Linked DNA regions of Neurospora crassa OR74A. The protein of the gene in region 2 interacts with the protein of the main gene of each other region in a pairwise test. Links are inferred from orthologs where the notes say so. Each region holds a gene or a part of one and is shown on either strand. Other genes may lie near its edges.

Region 1 (4,068 bases), on a different chromosome or scaffold from region 2:
CGCTTCTTTCCCCCCTCTGTTGGCTATGATGAAGAAGTCCCAGAGAGTGTTCGAGATGCAAAGTGTATAATGTATGGCACATCATAGCTTACTTGCAAGTGTTAGCTTCGTTGGCTGTCAAGACCAATCATGCCTTTCTGGCATACCTCACGCGCTGAGTGTGATGACTCGGGAACATTAACTAGGTTTACCCTTGATAGACATGACGTCCTTCATTCAATCAACTGTTTCACGTTTGGGTCTGGAGCTGGCGGCGGCCTCTCCCGTCGGATTGCATAGTCGGCAAAGCGTGATGATTACTGAACTTCGGATTCAAAGACTAAGTAGACAAACGGGCTGACTGACGTAGAAGAAGTCTGTGCTCGTGTCAGTGGTTGACATGAGTATTGCAAGAGGGGACGGGCAATGAATGGTCTGAGGATGTACAGTAGGTAACAGCAATTGTCGTCAACGGTCTATGGAAGTAGCAGGGACATTCGGCGGCCTCGCCATGCCGATCGCCCAAACTATACGGAACATTCAATCTCAAAATCCCAATTTGAACCATGCAGCGGCAGCAGCAGACGGAGACAGATAAACAAGAACGCGATAAAACTAGAGATTAATAACAGACAGGTAGACACAGAGAGAGAGATAAGAGACAGACGCACACGGGCAGTGACAGAGAAAGAGAAATAAAGGAGACAGGTAAGGGGGGCCAGAGACGCGGCATGTGATTCCAGAAGAAACAAGAAATATTGAACCGCAAAACTCCTTTCTCCAGTCTTTCTCTTTCCCTTTACCGCCCTCAGGTGTCCTCCGTTTGTGTATACATGAACACAAGCCACGCACCCGTCCACGCCGACCACACACACACACAGAAATAGTGGAAAGGAGTCCAGACCCAGTTATCCTCCCTAAATATCGAGTAGTAAGGCCCATAAGTATCCCCGAAATCCCAAGCCCCTCCCCATTTGCGCTCTCCACACCCCTTTCTTCTTCTCTCTGTGAAATATTATCCGCTCGGTAGCAGCATTGACGGCGTCATGGGCAGAGAATTATCAACTAAGGTGATGATCATCTTTCGCTTTGAAAACCGTTGCTTGATTACATGTTGCGAGGCTATCCGGGGAGGGCTTGGTGCAGATGATGTTGTTCGTCGTGCGGTAGAAATAAAAGCATCTCTCTAAAGAGCTGTGGGTTTGTTTAGACCGAGCTCTTGCAGAGGCCCCTCTTCGTCTTTGTCTTCTTGAGAAGGGCGGCTCTTGTCGCGTTCTCGAACACCTCACGGACACCCTCGTTGGTCTTGGCCGAGCACTCGAGGTACTTGTGGGCGTTGATCCTCTTCCTCAGAGCCTCACCCTGTTGATGAGCGCGTTAGCATACATTCCCGAGCAAGCGGAGGGAAAGCACTTGGAAACAAAAGGGGCATCATCAGCCGCCAATGTCTCAGCCTCACGTACCTCTTCGGGGGAAACGGGCTTCTGGCTGGTCTTGCGGAGCTCCTCAATGGTCTTGGGGTCGTGGCGCAAATCCTTCTTGCAGCCAACGAGGATGATTGGAACGTCACGGCAGAAGTGAAGAACCTCAGAGTGCCACTGTTTTTGATTGTTAGCGAATTGTAGCCTCAAAGACAAGGGCGCGCCAAGTAAGCAGGCGGGATACTGACCTTCTCGGAAACGTTGTCGAGCGAATCGGGAGAGTCGATGGCGAAGCAGATCAAGACGACGTGAGAGTCGGGGTAGGACAGGGGACGGAGACGGTCATAATCCTCCTGACCAGCCGTATCCCATAGCGCGAGCTCGACGTGTCTGCCATCAACCTCGACATCGGCGACGTAGTTCTCGAAAACGGTAGGGACGTAGACCTGGGCGCAGAGAGTTAGCTGGCTGAGCAGCGCTTATTCGGATGCGGATATGATGGCGACAGGGCGGGTGTTTCGAATTTGATGGCTTGATGGTTCATCGGGCTGAGGAGATGGATGTAGCCTGTTCGGGGGGGGAGGCGAGACGCGGGAATTGGCAGGAAGATGCGTGTTTCGTCAGGCGGTTGGGGCGGTGTAGCGAACAGACGGTCGAGGGCAGGTGTGTAGATGGACGTCTCAGTCCCGACAGACAAGTGCCTGACTTACCTCGGGGAAGGTTCCCTTGGAGAAGACGCTGGAAATTCGGTTAGCAAAAAGGTTGTGATGGGGGGAGAGCGGCGGTGACGACGACGACGACGACAACGACGACGACGCGCGCCTTATAAGAGCAGCATCAATCTCTTGGATGTGGATAGGGGAAATGGACATACATCAACAAACAGGTCTTGCCGCAGGCACCATCGCCAACGATGACGAGCTTTCGGCGGAGTTCAGCAGACATGGCGTCGGTTTGGTGGTTGTGTGAATAGGGGAGGAGAGATTAAGTTGTTTAGTTGAGTTGAGTGATGTCGACGGACGGTGCTTTGTTCGTTGTCGACGGGTTGTATGCAAAGGACGGGAGAGGGTATCACGCGGCCTGGATTTGGTCGATAAAAGATGCAAAATGGAAAAGGGAAGGAAAATGGAGATGGGGGTGTTGGGTGGTTGTTGAAGGATGGACGGTGGTGGTGGTAGGTAGGTAGGTAGTGGCCGCTGGTGGTGTGCTAACCTGTTCAAGTTGTGAGTTGTGTTGTGACGGAGACGGAGACGGGGAACGGGGACGGGGGGACCACCAGATAGCCAGGTGCAGGACTCCCACGGGCAAGGTTGGAAGAGGGTGGAAACCTTAGCCAGCGAACCAGGGCCGGGCAGTCAGACTGGGCTGGGAGGGCAGTGGGTGCTGCCGTGTGTGGTGAGGTGAGCGAGGCAGTGGGTAGCCCCAGAGAAGCCCCAGGGAACGGGCGGGCTGTCCAGGCACAGGCAGTCACTCAGTCGGGTTCACACAGTCCCATCTGGCAGCAGTCGCAGCCTGGAGGCTACAGGTACTGTGTGGTAAGAGGAAGGCAGACGACACCTACCGACCTAATTTTTCATCCAACACACTAGGTCCCTACCTAGATACTGCATTTTGTGTCGGAATACCCCATCACTTGTACAGGAGCCGGTAGGGGTGCGAGACGAGCCAAGAGCAAAGGGCCAGACAAGGGAGGTGCTGGCTTGATGTGACTTGTGAGTGGCCCGAATCCTCAGCAAGCGGTACGTACCGGTCCTCTTCTACAATTAACACCGTCACCTCCATTACCGTAATTCAGCTATTTGCACGCGAAAAGAGAGCTGATTTTGGTGATATTAATAGTGGACCGACCTTGAAATCGTCGTCGTCATGTTCCTTCCTGTTCCCCTTTTTCGCTACCCCGGACTTGCTGCATAAGGCTAATAAGGCCATCTCCCGAACATGACTCTCGACCTTTTTTTTTTTTTTTGTTTCTTCAACTTTGATGACAAGCGCAAAAGTGCACGGTGGGGACGGGCCAAATTACCACTCGAACCACTTTTAGACATCCATACCGCAGTAATCCGACACCCGACACGCTGCGCTGGCTCGGCTGGCTGTCGATCAAAGGGGGAAAGCACGCGCTGCTGCCGTGGCCCCCCAGGATTTTAGTAGTGTACTCAGAGGAAGTGGAAGCTTTGCGAGCGAGCGAAGGCAGGCGAGGCGAGTCTCCAGCAGCAAAGATGGTCCAGTGGGCGGCGGCGATAACTGCTAATCTCCAGACTGCCTGCCCAGAACCCCTGAACCAACGCCAAAAGGTACAGGAACAGGCACAGTGCGCCATGGGCCTCTTCCTTCCGGTCGCCTATTTTGGGTGTCCCTAGTGTACACTACATAGGTAGTAATTTGCTGATAGCTCTGGGCTTTGTTCTCAGCCATCCATTATCAGGGTCCAGGACTCTCTTGACAGTCTAGTAGTGAACATGGAGGAAGGGGATGGGGTGGGAGGAAGGACGGGACATGATATTAAAAACATGGAAGCTCCTGTCTTGTTGGCATACGCAGTATGTACACCACACTATACCCCATTTCCTCTCGGCTGTCGATACACTACACAGTATATACCAAGAGACGGAGCGGTCAGCAAAGTGTCGGTGCCCAGCCGCATCTAGATAGCAGACCAGTCTCTTGA
Region 2 (4,257 bases):
TCTTGCTCACCTTGATCGCGGAAAAGTCGGCGCCCATGATGACGACAACCTGGCCCGCTGCCGTGCAAGGACTTCAACGAGTCCAGTTACAGAATGTGATAGTCTCGGCTGAAGAGGCCTTGAGGTTGTGATAAAAGGCTATGAGGCTGAACAAGCCAAAAGTGGTGGCCGCGGCGTAAAGTGCCCCTGTTGCCTACGGAGGTTCCGCTTGCGACAAACCTATGTAACATATACAAATGCGGCACGTAATCGCGTGCGGAAAGGTGTACCTGCGCTAACTGCGCGCGCAGTACATACTGTAGCCACCTGGGCTTGACAGCCCAGACGTTGTGGAACAGTGCACTGTAGAGTTCCTGGACTGGGCTCACCCGGCCCTTCCATGTATCGGGTCTCTGTGGCATGGCCCGACTGAGCGAGGCCCGGGCCCAAAATAGCAACGGAACGACACCCTCAAGGTTGATGAGATGCAGAAACCTAACAAACTGCCCTGATGATCCAGGGGTATCGACGGCCTCATGTAGGGATCTCAGAGGATGTCTTTCCAACCAACAACATCTGTTCCTATACAGTTTTGGACCTCCACAAGTGTGTTTCTCGCTCATACCTCTAGCTTGAGGACTTTTATTCTTTTGTCTTCAGATCATCTTGACCTCTTTTGGTTGGGATAGTGAGACGCAGGGATGATGATACTCGGATAGAACGGTGATGATTGGGCAAGGGATCATGAGCCAATCTTAATACCAGTTCGATGTGATTCCATCATATCAATCTGCCCCCACCAGGGGCAGTTTGGGAAGGTGGAGGATTAAGCCAAGTCATAGTTCCAGCCGCTATGCCTACTTATGCTATTGTATGGATGTACGCAGTACATAGTAATGTGGACATATATGGCGCCGCTGAATGTGCCACCAATGCATACGAAGATGACCTTTATCACCATTATGCGTATTGTTTCAGGTTGACCAGCGGCCTTTTCAGTGCTCAGTTGACAAGTTTCTATCATTGAGTTTCTTTCATCCTATTCTGTGCCGATTTGTGGTTCCATCACTTATATGAACCATCGGTTAGGTTCAGATGATGGATGTTTCGGATGGTGGATGGGAAAAAGAAAGAACGGAAGAAACCCGGACAGTCCCTGCGTCTTGACCACTAACAAATTCCCCGCCTGTGATTCAAGACATCAGGGGTGATGATGTGCCCAGCTAAGCCGCTTTCAGCGCATCGAGACCCCCTTTGCCGTGATGTTGAGGTCTCCCACCAGAAGGTGCAGCTGTTAAGAGAGTGCACGGTGCACCCTCCCGCGCCATGCTGGAGTTGCCCCTGCGATTGCCGAGCGTTGTTAGGTTCGCGTTCACACGGCAAGGAACCCCAACCTCACTCTCTCTCAAGTGATCTCTCATTCGGCTCATTCAACCACTTCACCTCAGTCCAGTCTCGCTGCAACTTCTGAATGGTCATCTGCCTCTGCCTCTCCTTTTCCCGAGCTTGTCTCTATAGCTGATAATTCGCGGGTGAGCCAGCCACCACCGGACAACGCTCCACCCGTCGTCGTTGCCATTGCTCCTTTTCTTTCCCAATCATCGCTCATAGAAGACCACCATTCATTTGCCGCCCGATCTCAAATCAACCTTCAATTTCGTCCGAGTGGGTAACTAAGCCCGTCCAAGACAGGCCCTCCAGTGCCCCACGCGCGCGCGCGCTTCCACCCCAAAGTTAGGTACCGCCAACGACCTGGGCCAAATCCACCAGACCCCTCGAACGGGAGAGTCCGTCCCTGACGAGCCCTGACGGTTTGACCAACGAACGGCATTTTGTTCTTCTCCTAGTTCAGCCTCGGCGTAGCTGTCTAAGTACTCTGGCACTTTTGGTAGTGAGCGAGCTGAGCGTCGCATACCTACCTACTCATCACCCCTCCTTGCCGTCAGCCAGGTCGCCAGTATACTGCCTCTACACTACACACTAGGTAGGTAACTACAGTACTCTATCTATACTTCCAACACGAGATCCAGAAGTCGAAGTCGACGACATCCTACACTACTACCTAGGTATTTCCAGGTTTCGCCGGCTACGCTACACGGACAGACGCGGGTACGGATATTTGCGCCCGCTCGTACATTTGCGACTTGACCCCTTTGACTTTCACTTGAGTTCCATTCCCTTCGAAGATCTGGATTGTATTGCCAACACGGTCTCGATGCAGTCTAGTTTGGGTCAGCACACATCCATACACATCTCGCCCGAGTGCGCTCATCCCACCAGCTAGCAGTGCTAGCAGCTAGCCTATCTCGAGGCCCGCCTCTGCGCAAAAGCTTGCCCGGGCACGGCTACCCTCCGAACTCCTCAACTTGACCTCATGCTAAAAACACCAATGGTTCATGCAGCAGGAAGGCCATGCTCACCAACCGTTATTGCCCGCAAAGAACATGATGCGATCCACCCAGGGCCTCAGACACCGAGTCCATTGACGGCATTTGCTCCGTATCCATTTCAACGCACTCATTTACCAATTGACCCACCCGCGCATTGATTGCCTATACAACTACCCACTCCGCGCCTCGAGACGAGACCCGACCCGGCCCGGCCCCTCGACACCCCTCGACGCCCCTCTACAGCGATCCAGATACCCACGATACCCGCTCGCCTATTGCTGAGGAACCACCCCCGAACAACACGTAGGCAGCTTGCGCTGCTGGGACTGTACTCTGGTGTACTGCCCTGCCGGTAGCGAAGCGGCCGCTTCACACATCCCGTCCCGCGCCATGTCCTCCCACGACAAGAATGGGAGGGCTACCTCCTCGAGCGGCAAGGCCTCCTCCTTCTTCTCGAGAGCCACTGGCAAGAACAAGGCCGACAAACGGAACGCAAGCGATGAGGGTGGCCGATACCTTGCCGCCGACAACGACGCCGCCAGCACCCATACCGCACGCAGTTCGCGCCATTACCGGGACTCGTCTGTAATATCGCTGGACCGTCCCGACACGCCCGAATCTGGCCTCAACATGACGGCAGGGGTCGTCACGACGATCCCCTATGACCCTGTTTCCCCCGACAATCGCTCCCCCGTCGCCCTCGACCACCTTCCCAGGCCCGACCAAATGCCCCTAAGGCGAGAGCTAGTACCGCACCACCTCAACAAAGGCACTGGTGACTTCCACCAGTATCCCACCATCGACCAAAGCCCAAGCTCCCCCTATAATGGGCAGTCACCCAGCGCATCAAGTTCGCGCTCAACTCTCGCTACTGCTAACATCACCATGGCCTCCACGGGCCGCCAGGCCCAGTTTCAGCAATGGGGACCACCGAGAGAGAGCAGTTTGCCCGGGTACAATTCCAGAGGCCACTCGTACATGACAACCCGCAGTTCGGGCGACAATGCCAGCATCTACTCAGGTAGGGACGGACACTACCAAGAAGCCCCAGGAACCAGCCATCGCTCATCCAGGATAGGACTCCCTAGTACTTCGTCTCAGTCATCCTACCTTTCTCCCCATGCCCATAAGGACAGAGATACCCAGCGGTTAACCAAGGTCGCTGCCGGCCACCAGGGCTCCGAAGGATTCAACTTTCCCAAGCCAGACGATGACAATGTGATTGAACAGATGTTCATAAACCTGATGCAAAAGCGAGGATGGCACAACCTCCCGGACCAGGCCAAGCGCCAGATGATCGCATACCCCGCCGCGAAGAAATGGACCTTGATTTACCAGGATCGACTCACCGAGTGGCAGGGCGAACAGAAGCGCAGACAGACGGCCAAGATTGGCCAATACAGCAATGTCGATATTACCCAATCCTCCGATGACGAAGGCAGCCCCGAGTGGTATGTGCGCAAGGTCATGGAAAACGCTCTGGACAGCAAAGGGCTCGGAGGACTCGAAGTCAACCTTCGGACACAGCAGATCGGCTGGGTCAAGCGCTTCATCGACTGTCAGGGACAGATCGCCTTGACCAATGTCCTGCTAAAGATGAACCGAAAGACTGCCTATGGACCTGCTCAGCCGGATAATGGAAGATTGGATAAGAATTTGGACCGAGAATATGACATTGTCAAATGTTTGAAGGCTCTTATGAACAACAAGTTTGGCGCAGACGATGCGCTAGCTCACCAACAGGTTATTGTGGCTCTGGCCACCTCCCTTATATCACCTCGGCTCACCACCCGGAAGCTTGTCAGCGAAGTCCTGACATTCCTCTGCCATTGGGGCGAAGGCAAGGGCCATGTCAAGGTCATCGAGGCCATGGACGTCGTTAAGGCCC
Region 3 (3,708 bases), on a different chromosome or scaffold from region 2:
TGACTGTCGAAGAAGTACGAAGCATGCGGTGTATCTTACATGTGTACGTCTTTTACCATGCTGTCAGAGCCAGGCGCTAGACTCTCAGGCCAGCAATTCTGATGTCCACCAGCGCGCCAAGACTTCGGTTTAATGATGTTAAAAGGGGCCGGTTATGAATCCGAAAATGTCGAGGCTACGTCTCAAAGATGCACAACTCCAGTCAGCGACAGCCTGCCTGACTGGAACCCTGGACATCACACGCCCTTGAGCCAAGATTCGTATGATATAGGAGCTGCCGGCTTGAACAGGTAACCTTTGGTTTTCACCATACCTTTAGATAGGTAGCTTATACCTCAGGGATTTGTGCCTGTTGTTGGCGCCTGGGTCCCGTCGTCTCTTTGTTGAAGTTTGTCATGTTGGATGAAATGGAGGTCTAGAGGAAAGAGGTGCTGAATGGATCTCTGATTCGCCGTGCACTAACCGACATCCACGAGGCAAGCCGAACGCTAGAGCATGCGTCTGCATTCAAGGAGCTCCGCTTGTTGTTGGGACGACAGCGGGATGGATCCGAATGCTTGACCCTCTTGGCGTCATATGCAAACTGTTTTCTGTGCTTTCCAACCCCGTCATCATCTTCACTGATGTGTGCGCCATGCAGACAACGGGCGTACTTTGCTGCTCCTCTTTGTTGAGATGAATGAGGGGCATCGGAGCAATGAACCCAACATGGTGTTGGGGCACAGCATCAGAGAAGATGGACGTCTGTCAGAATATCTTCATACTGTTGTTGATGTCAGACTGAAACGTCGAGAGTACGACAGCAAACTCTTCTTGCTGTCCGTCTCGGCGGTCAATGAGGCGGAATGGGGTCGTGGAATTCCACGGCCCTGCAAAAGAACGGTGAAGAATTCCAAGTCTGGATGAAGAAGAAGCTGCCACCTGTTTGTTGAAGAGGGGCCCACTGTTGACCACTTCGGTTGCTCCCGTCGATCCAGCTTGGAAATGCCGCTGGGAGTCGATGGAAGGATGCTTGGTCCTAGAGGCTGTCTGCTAACAATCACCGTGTTGAGTTTATACGATCGTATGTTAAAGAGATACATACCTACCTAGTGTACAAGTAAGTCTCACCTGCCGAACCCCTCCGCGACTCCGAAGAGGTCAACGTCCAGGCAACTTCCTTTGGCGGGGCACCTCGCTGAACCTACCTAGTGACGAGGAGGGGCCTGGCTGGTGAGGGGGCTCCTCTCAAGAGCTTCTCTTCCAATCCACACAACGGGAATCCACAACCACCAGGCACCGTTACCCGGCCCCATTCACCAGCTGGCCTTCGCTGGCTTCCCGGTTTAGCCCACTAGAATCCCAGGGGGACCAGTGAGTCGTTCCCCTCCACTGTCATGTCACCGCTTCCCCTTTTCGCATCCAATCCATAGAGGTATCCAGTCGCCGCTCCGCTATCTTCCGCCGCCGCTTAGCCCCCCCAAGACTACCGGCCCCCCTCCCCCCTTTGCCAACCGAGCCGCGTTTGTTTGGGTTTCCCTTTTTTTAATCCTCCCCGAAAGCCAGCTTCTTCGTCGTCGTTGTCTGTCGATACACTCCTCCTTCAACTCAACCACCGAGTCCTTTCCATCACACCAACATCACACAAATCCCGACAAAATGTCCTGGCAAGGTCAGTGCCTGTTTCCGCCTGGGCCCTCTTCCCGTCCTTGGGAGCTGTTTCACGCCCAACCCCACCTCGACGGAAGCTGGGAGAATAAGCAAGCTAACCCCGAATGTCTTGAACAGCCTATGTTGACTCGAGGTACGATATACCATTGGAAACCACCCGAACCCATGAACACAACGAATTGCGACGCCATCGACTGCTAGGGGTGTGATTGCCTGCGCCTGATGGTTGTTCGGCTTCGGCCCCAAGAATGCGGAGAACCACCTGTACATGGAAACGGACATGGACATGATGAGCTAAGACGTAATCTCCTACATATAGCCTTGTTGGCACCGGCCACATCGATAAGGCCGCCATCATCAGCGCCGCTGGTGACAGCACCTGGGCTGCGACTCCCGGCTTCACGGTACGCCTTGTCTCGCCAACTTCCCCCCGATTTCTGCCCGCACCCTTTCCCTGCCCTCATCTCTGTCTCTCCTTCGGGCGCATAAACGGTCGGACATCTACAATGTCCGAGAAATCCTGGTCAGGGAGGCTGTTTGCACCGGGGAAGCAGAGAGCGGGGTTGATGGCGTGATAGGACCCCCCGACGATGTATCGGGCGCCAAAGTTCCAGAGAAAGCTAACAATCTGTGACGTATTATAGCTGAGCCCCGATGAGATGAAGTTCATCTCCGCCGTCCTCGGCGATAATGGCAAGGGCTCCAACGTTGACAAGGTTTTCGCTGAGGGTCTCCACGTTGCCGGTCAGCGCTACGTTGCCTTCAACATCGAGGGTCGCCACGTCTACGGTCGCCAGGTGCGTACTATCTCTATCCCCTTATCGTGTCTCAACCTCAGACGCCCGAACTTTAGTCGGCCGCGCTGCTCCAGGCATCCCCTTTCCAAGCCTCGTATGTTCAAGCTCACTGATGGTTTTTCTTCCCCCCAAAAATAGGGCAAGACTGGCGTCATCATCGTCAAGACAACACAGGCCATCCTCGTCGCCCACTACGGCGAGAACGCTGTCGCCGGCAACTCGACACAGACCGTCGAGGCGCTCGCCGATTACCTCGTCAAGGCCGGATACTAAGTCATGTCGGGAGGTAGTGGGAAGAAGGATGAGATGATTGGATGTCTTAAGAGTCACTGAACAAGAAACAAATGAAAACGGGATGAAGACAAGGAAGACGAAAGATGGGAAGACGGAAAAGAAACCGAAAGACTTTCCTGTGAAGGAGTATTGGGGACTGGTGTACTGGATGGATGATATCCTTAAACAGGCATAGGCCCTTGGGAATTTTTTTTTTCTGGAACTGACAGCACACTTTGGCGGAATTTGCCTTTCCATGTCAGTCGAGGCTGCCGGTGGTGAAAAACGTTCCTCGTCCGTTGTTCCATCATTGGGGTTATATGGTATCGTGATTTTGTAGACAATTTAACACCCCCCCCACCCCGGAACCATCTATAGTATTTGATTCTTCCTCTCAAAATTATGCATGAAAAGAAAGCCCGATACTTCCCTCTTCATATTACAACTTGGGTATCCCAAAGTTCGCTCCAACGCCGTTTGTGTGAATGTGCATGTTGATCGTGGGCATTAGACCCTTCATAGGCGTTCCCTCTCCTTTTCGTTTCACAACCGTCGTTTCTTCGTTCATGTTCCCGTTCGCCTCGTATTCTTTCTTTTGCCCTCCCTTTCATAGCGCGAGCGCTGAACCTGTCTTGCGCCCGACCCGCCGATGTCATTCAACCGAACGGCAAAGCGAGTATTCGTGAGCTTTCGAAGAGCGGCGCCATGGCCCAGACCATATCCTCGTTCGGCACGTTTGCACTATGCCACGGCGCCCTCGCCTTTTCCCCTCAACACTCAATCCCTCCATTTAAACAGGCAAATCCGCATTCTGCCTCGCTACCACACCAGACCGATCAACCGCGGTGCCGATATAAGGTCCAATAACAGGAATGTTGCGCGCGAAACCCGCTATCGTTCCCAGGAAGTCGCCAAAGAGGATCATGATCCCATAAAGCTCCACGCAGAAGCCGATCAAAGGCCAGCGCATCAAAATCAAAGCCAGACC

What was found.
Region 1: the proteins of bni1 (region 2) and rho-1 interact in a two-hybrid assay, tested with the Saccharomyces cerevisiae proteins (2 studies listed by BioGRID). The link is inferred for Neurospora crassa OR74A from reciprocal best matches to the Saccharomyces cerevisiae genes BNI1 and RHO1.
Region 3: the proteins of bni1 (region 2) and NCU06397 interact in a two-hybrid assay, tested with the Saccharomyces cerevisiae proteins (3 studies listed by BioGRID). The link is inferred for Neurospora crassa OR74A from reciprocal best matches to the Saccharomyces cerevisiae genes BNI1 and PFY1.

Annotation. Positions count from the first base shown.
Region 1 is NC_026502.1:3,340,939-3,345,006, reverse strand, and holds rho-1 (rho-type GTPase), read right to left. Parts: upstream 2,808-4,068; 5' UTR 2,346-2,807; coding exon 2,275-2,345; intron 2,139-2,274; coding exon 2,111-2,138; intron 1,847-2,110; coding exon 1,649-1,846; intron 1,578-1,648; coding exon 1,443-1,577; intron 1,342-1,442; coding exon 1,186-1,341; 3' UTR 307-1,185; downstream 1-306. UniProt on the Saccharomyces cerevisiae protein: Acts as a central regulator in the cell wall integrity signaling pathway, which is regulated by the cell cycle and in response to various types of cell wall stress.
Region 2 is NC_026505.1:4,767,536-4,771,792, forward strand, and holds the start of bni1 (cytokinesis protein sepA), read left to right. Parts: upstream 1-1,416; 5' UTR 1,417-1,963; intron 1,964-2,381; 5' UTR 2,382-2,759; coding exon 2,760-4,257. Other genes in the region: NCU01432 (hypothetical protein), read right to left, coding at 11-37. UniProt on the Saccharomyces cerevisiae protein: Required for the assembly of F-actin structures, such as actin cables and stress fibers. Nucleates actin filaments. Binds to the barbed end of the actin filament and acts as a leaky capper, slowing both polymerization and depolymerization.
Region 3 is NC_026504.1:2,646,483-2,650,190, forward strand, and holds NCU06397 (profilin), read left to right. Parts: upstream 1-1,189; 5' UTR 1,190-1,638; coding exon 1,639-1,651; intron 1,652-1,767; coding exon 1,768-1,783; intron 1,784-1,969; coding exon 1,970-2,054; intron 2,055-2,294; coding exon 2,295-2,447; intron 2,448-2,585; coding exon 2,586-2,720; 3' UTR 2,721-3,164; downstream 3,165-3,708. Other genes in the region: NCU06396 (Got1 family protein), read right to left, coding at 3,511-3,708. UniProt on the Saccharomyces cerevisiae protein: Binds to actin and affects the structure of the cytoskeleton. At high concentrations, profilin prevents the polymerization of actin, whereas it enhances it at low concentrations. By binding to PIP2, it inhibits the formation of IP3 and DG.